2 linked regions of the Nothobranchius furzeri genome follow. The protein of the gene in region 2 interacts with the protein of the main gene of each other region in a pairwise test. Links are inferred from orthologs where the notes say so. Each region holds a gene or a part of one and is shown on either strand. Other genes may lie near its edges.

Evidence for each region.
Region 1: the proteins of psmd5 (region 2) and psmc2 interact in binary tests that used the Homo sapiens proteins (3 or more experiments, as listed by UniProt). The link is inferred for Nothobranchius furzeri from reciprocal best matches to the Homo sapiens genes PSMD5 and PSMC2.

The regions. Positions count from the first base shown.
Region 1 is NC_091741.1:59,234,461-59,238,291, reverse strand, and holds part of psmc2 (26S proteasome regulatory subunit 7), read right to left. Parts: intron 2,863-3,831; coding exon 2,763-2,862; intron 2,235-2,762; coding exon 2,103-2,234; intron 2,022-2,102; coding exon 1,949-2,021; intron 1,880-1,948; coding exon 1,784-1,879; intron 1,616-1,783; coding exon 1,451-1,615; intron 1,374-1,450; coding exon 1,286-1,373; intron 1,180-1,285; coding exon 977-1,179; intron 871-976; coding exon 774-870; intron 1-773.
Region 2 is NC_091746.1:60,974,926-60,978,010, forward strand, and holds part of psmd5 (26S proteasome non-ATPase regulatory subunit 5), read right to left. Parts: intron 2,885-3,085; coding exon 2,775-2,884; intron 2,690-2,774; coding exon 2,547-2,689; intron 2,346-2,546; coding exon 2,154-2,345; intron 1-2,153. UniProt on the Homo sapiens protein: Acts as a chaperone during the assembly of the 26S proteasome, specifically of the base subcomplex of the PA700/19S regulatory complex (RC).

The sequences.
Region 1 (3,831 bases), on a different chromosome or scaffold from region 2:
TGCACTAGAAAATTTTACTTTATTATAATGTTCACAGTAATGCATCTTGATGTTCTTAACAAATAAATTAAATCAAAGATATTGGTCAATAATGCCAAATATGTAAATTTGTGTTTCAGTCATTTTCATACTGGCTCAAAAATACTTCATTAAGTCTACTAAGCAGGGGTGTAGAACGTTTTTAATAGGGCCAGCCCAGTAATGATCTTGGACCAAAATAAAGGGGGCAAAAGGAGATGTTTTTCCAGACGCCAAGAAAAATTAAATGCCAAATCACCCCCTGCAAAGTGTGTCACTGAGAGTTTAAAACAAAAATAATTCTTGTGCAAATATTGGTGTATTCACCTTTAATACTAGTTAATAAAATGTAGCAGTTGCTGGATTGGTGCAGTTCAAAGTGGAGTGCATCAAATAAAACAATATCAACATAAAGGTGAGACGTGTCATAATTTCTAATTTAAACAAATAAACTGCGTATTACATTAGAACGTAAAAGCAGGTGGGCATCGGTGGGACGCTCGGGAGGAGCTGAGTGTTTTAGTGCATTCAGGCTTCATTTAGATGTGTACACTTCAAATTTAAAATTCTTGAAACTGAGAAGTATAAAAAATTAGGTGGAAAAGAAAAAAGCTCCTTAAACCACCTAAGGGTTTGCTGCTGATGGTCGATACATTCATCCAGTCATCCATCTAAAACAACTAGGTATTCTGTAATCATTACCAGGAGGTAGGACAGAACCGTTTCTACAGTAGACAGATGGGGATGAGTCTTACCGGTGCTGTTGGGGCAGAGGCGGGCCAAAAGCTCAAAACGAATATCTCTCTCTACGCTCATGGAGCGGGCATGGATCTTAAAGATGTGGGTGCGACCCTGGAACACATAACAGAAGGGGTGAGCTCATTTCTCATGAGAGAAAAGAAATTATCTCAAAAAGTTTTTGGATTCACAGAAGAAATAACTTGTTTTATGATCTCACCTCCAGATCAGGCAGACTGAACTCAATCTTCCTGTCCAGACGTCCCGGTCGCATCAGGGCCGGGTCCAGAGTGTCGGGTCTGTTGGTGGCCATCAGAACTTTGATGTTGCCTCGAGGGTCGAAGCCGTCTAGCTGGTTGATGAGCTCCAGCATGGTCCTCTGGACCTCGTTGTCGCCACCAGCGCCGTCATCAAAGCGAGCACCTGGCAGGTTCAAAAACAGAAGATGGCTCGAAAAACAGCCTTTTGGACAAAACTAGCTGCAAAAACGAAGGATTTGTGAGAATCACAGCACAGATAAGATCCTTACCTCCGATAGCATCGATTTCATCAAAAAAAATCAGGCAAGCCTTCTTAGTCCTGGCCATCTCGAACAGCTCGCGGACCATCCTGGCTCCCTGGAAACACAAACAGAGTCAGGAACGAAAACTTTTCACGCTAACTGCCCCCCTGCCGCCGCCGGAGGAGGACTCACCTCTCCCACATACTTCTGCACCAGCTCAGAGCCGATGACTCTGATGAAGCAGGCGTCAGTTCGGTTGGCCACAGCTCGGGCACACAGGGTCTTTCCGGTGCCGGGGGGACCAAACAGCAGCACTCCTTTAGGAGGCTCAATACCCAGGTTAACAAATCTCTCAGGCTGGTGGAGAGAGGACAGATATGTTAGCTCACCTCTGATGAAGAAAGAATGCCTAAATGAAATGAAAAGCTCCGTTTACAGGGCACAGATTGTTTTGTGGTTAACCACGTTGTTTATAAAGCCGAGTTTAGTTTCACACCCAGACCCGAGTACGGCTGTCAAACTCACATGAAGCAGAGGAGTTTCAACCACTTCCCTCAGCTTCTCGATCTGCTCCTTACATCCACCAACATCGCTGTAAGTCACATCAGGCTTCTCCTCCACCTACAAAGACCCCGTCAGTCACTGCTTTTTACACCAGACATACTTCTATATAATCGTTTACACACACACCTGCATCATGGTGACGGTGGGGTCGATTTTCGGAGGCAATGGGATGTGGATCTGGTATTTGTTGCGGTCAACCCTTGAGAGACAGAAGGAACACTGTGTTTATCAGACTGCAGGAACGAATCTTTAAAACAACTGCAGCTTTTTTATGCCTTACCCGACTCTCATGCCCTCCTCTATGTCAGTCGGAGCCACCTGGTCACTCAGATCCACCACAAACTTAGCAAACTGTTTGACATTGATGATGTATTTGGGGTCTTCAGAGTCTGCATTGATGATCTTGGTGCATCTGATTGAACAACAGGGAAAATTCACAAAAGAACAGAGTTCACATTTTAGCAACTGAAGCCGCATAAAAAACACGACAATTTTTTAAACAATGAGACATTTCACCCACATTTGACAGAAGGGTCATAACATTATAAGATGCCTTTGGTTAGCTAGCTTAACTTATTCCATCTAAAACCAGCAGCACTGACACTGGTTACCAGATTACTAAGTGAACTGATGCCTCTGATTAAAACTGACTAGAGCTGACACACAAGTCATCTGCTCAGATCATCGAGGCAAGTTGGTCACATCAAAGAGGAAAACAGAAAACATCAGAGCATTAATATGAATACACTGAATCAAGCGTTATGGTGTACTGATTTACTCCAAATAGTTGGTAACCATGGTAACAGTCACGTAATTAACTAGTTTTGTAACACTGAGCCATAAGTTATCCCCAGATTACAGTTTTGAGCTCCCGTAAACAAACTACATTTAGAAATAAAAAAAAAATCTTAGTACCTTTAACAACGAACGACTTGCTTACCTCGCTACCTGTAACGGCTGTTCACTCTGCAGGGTCTGCTTGTCAGCAGCCAGATCCCAGAGGGCTGGTGGAGCCAAGCCTGTGTCCGACTCCTTGATGCCTGCCAAATTCAAAATGCACAACATATAATTCAATGTGAATCCTCTTCAGCAGGGTATAGGGCAGGGATCTCAAAATTCAAGACTTTTTAGGACCTTGTAAAAACAAAAATTTTATAAAGACTATCGCAATAAACTAATCGTATAAGCTTTTTAAATACTGCATCGCTTCATTTTCCACTTCAGCAATTAAGACTTTACTAAACTGATTTAAGACTTTTTAAGGGTCTTAATTTTCCTTAAATCAAAGTCAAGAACCCGTGGATGCCCTGCATAGTGTTATTTTAACAGTCTCACTGGAAATTACCATCATGGTTGAGAACATGGGATGGCCATCACACACAGAAAATCAGAAACAAACGATCATCAAACACAACTATAATATGAAAATTGACACCTTTTGTGGATAAATGAAAATATACTAACGAGTCAGATCCACATCAGATGCAGTGGAAATAAATCTAGTTTGGATGTTGATGTTTAATTGTTATTTTTGATATGATGGCCTCACTGTTGCAGGCTGGATGATCTGGCCCAGATGTTGTGTAGTCTAGTGCCACAGGGCAGGGGTAAAAAGAGGTGTTGTGATGGGTGAGGGAGGTCCTGCCGAATGTCGTTGCCTTTTTGACACACTGATCTTTGTAGAGGTCTACTAGGGCTGGGAGTGGGGTACAAATTATCCTCTCTGCAGCTCTCACTACTCACTGCACTTCTCTGTAATAAGTAAAGTGACTAGTTTTCCTTAGAATCATATCAGACTAATCTGATATAAGGAGATCAGAGCACACATGGACTTAAGAGTCATGAATCATGTAACTGCTCACATGTTTTTCTTAATCATATATTTTGTAGCCTGGCAAGCCATACTAAATAATTCTTTAATTTAGGGCTGCTCAATTAATCGAATTTTAATCACGATTACGATCTGAGTTTTGAACGATTATAAAAAACATAACAAGCCGATTATTTGC
Region 2 (3,085 bases):
GCAGCGCTCGTCACTGGCGCAGCCGGGCAGCGCAGCGCACACTCCGCTTTTTTTGCGGTCAATAGATCAATTTGATCTGCTAGTTAAAAAGTTACTTGTGAGGTGAAAAGAAGGAAGCAGGCAGGAGTTTTTTTGGAGGACTGGGAGATGCAGGAAGATCAGAGACAGACAGGACAGGATGATAAGAAAATAAAACCCAAGAAAACAAAACAAAGTTCTTAAAAAAATAAAATTTAGGTAGATTTATCCCACGACACATTTGTACCTGTATAAAGCAATAATTTATCAGCATGTAGTATTTATATAGCTGATACAATTCAGATCATCTTCAAAACTCCGTCCCACGCCCAGGGACGTATCTAAGCATTTTGGGGGCCGAGGCTAAATAGACCCCTGCCAGGTATTTTAAGTTGAAGTGCAATCTGTTTTTATATTAGACTTTTTATATTTGCAATAAAGTCCAAAAGTGAAGAATTTATGTTATTTATTGATTGTTAAAGCTACCTCACAGAAGTGATCTGTAGTTAAAAATTAAAATAAAAAGGTAATGAAATAAAAAATAAGGAACATTCTGGAACTGTTTCTTCCATTTCTTTAATGTATCGAAAGTATCGGATCGGGACTCGGTATCGGCAGATCCTCAAAATCAAATAACTCGGACTCGAGGGCAAAAAACCCTGATCGGGACATCCCTAATTATTATTATTATACATACATATATCTATATAATTTTAATTGCATTTTATTATCGAACCGATATGATGTTAAAAACATGACAAACATCGGCCGATGATACAGTGTGCATCCCTATTATTACCCTTTTAAATTCAGATGTATGAAAAAGAATGCTTTATTTTATTTGTTTAATCAGTTTATTGGACGATAATGCAATAATAAATGTATACATCATATTTTATCATGTAATCCTATATTTTCTAGATCACACATGTCAAAAGTGCAGCCACAGGCCCGGTGGAGTGATTTCGTGTGGCCCCCACTTGCATTTCTACAATACTGAATTTTGTCTCTTCTGTAGGCTGTTGATGTAAATCAACACTTAGTAATATTTTTACATTCAGGGTTTTGCTACAATGTCTATTGTGGACTAATGTTTAGGTGTACACACACAAAAAAAAATATATATATATATATACACACATACATATACACATACACACTATACATTTTTTCTTTTTTTTTTTTAAATCCAATATTTGTGTCCCGTGAGGACTACTGACTTGATAATGCCGTCACTCATTTTACAATGTTTGATCAGATTCTCCGCCAGAGTGCAGAGAAAAAGCATTAGAACCTATATAGCAGGTACTAATTGTATTAAAGACGTAGAAGTTTTAGAGGCTAAAAAAATCTGTGTATCAAACAAGATACAAATGGTATAGAAGTCTAAAGGCACACTTCATAGTTTTGTTTGCTTTTACCACCCCCTACTGTCCGTTATTAATTCTCTGGTCAAACCGAAAGCAAAACTTATCTCATCTCTGTGCGTTCATCTTTTTAACACCTTAATCCAACAGCTGAAATGTCTCCCAGCCTTCATTAGTGTCCACAGGAGTGACTCGTCACTGAATTAAACAAACCAGCTGTGTTCATGATCTAAAACATGCAGGAAATGTGTTGAAAGCAGACTGCAGCACCAGGTATGTCAGCTCTATTTTTCTTAAGTCCCAACAGAGCACCTTGCCAGTCTGAAGCTGCAGATCCAGTATTCTGGCCACAGGGCGGGGTCTGAGTGACATTTCATTAACCTTGTAAAGGATTATTTTAGCACATACTGGGTCAAGAAAATGATTTTAAAACATGATAAAGCAGCAAAGTATGGCTTTAATAATTAGAGTTCTTAAGTTTTAATAAGTTTAAAAGATCACAGAAATTTAAATATACAACTAATTTCCCTTTCAAAATAAACTATACGTAAACCAATCTTTTTATATATATATTTCATTTTTCATTTATTGACATTAAAATAAAATTACAGAAAAAAATTGCTACAAGCCAAAATGAAAAAGGGGACAGAAAGAAGAAAAACTTATGTTATCTGTCCCTTTTAACTAAAATAACATTAATACAAATGAAACAATCATGATTCTTAAAAAATAATAATAATAATAAATTCACAAATGCCTCTAACCCACCTGTTTTCTGTAGAACCTGCTTCCCCTCAACTGTAGACCCAAGCAAGCCCAAAGTGTCGAGGCCCACGCCGATCATGGCAGGGTCCGGATCAAGGGCCATCTCCAACGCCTTGTTCAGGAAGGCTGGGTAGGTCTCACACACCTGCTGTGGGCTGTCCATAATGGCCAGGTTCCCAAAGAACTTCACCAAACCTAAAACCAGTCCAACTTCCATGGTAAGAACCTTCTGTGTTCCTCCTTAATTAATACTGACCATTTAGACAAAGCTGTGACTTCTTCTCCCCTTTTAACCAACTTTAATGTATTGGATCAGTTAAATCACATTTAATAACTACAAATTAATTACAAGTGTTTCTAGCTTATGCTAAGTTTGAAACGGATATAAATTGTTACCTGGAAGGTAGAGTGAAGAAAATGAGTCCATTTCTGCTCCTCTGATCATGTTGGAGATCTTATCCATTATCCCCTGCTGAGCTAAATATTGCCGGCCATGCTGACTGTGAGCCAGACTGGTCACCATCTCTACTGCTGTGGCTCTGGTGAAATAAATAGACAAGAGAGGATGGGAAAGCATGAAAGGATGTCACACAAGTAATTTATCGATGATAAAAACAGTGGTACCTAATCAAAACATCATCCCCCGTCAGTTCTCCGAGCAGCTGGGAGATGAGGCCACTGCTGGCACAGTAACCGAGAGAAATGGGAGAAGCAGATGAGATTTCTACCAGCAGCTGGAAATGGAAAGAAAACAATCAAGTCTTTTTATTTGTTCCCACAGATTTGTCTCAGAAAATGCAGAGGAGCCATGACTGACCGTACTGGTTCCATGGAAGGGCAGTGGGGCAAAAAAGTATTTAGTCAGCCACCGATTGTGCAAGTTCTCCCACTTAAAATGATGACAGAGGTCAGTAATTTACATCATATGTACACTT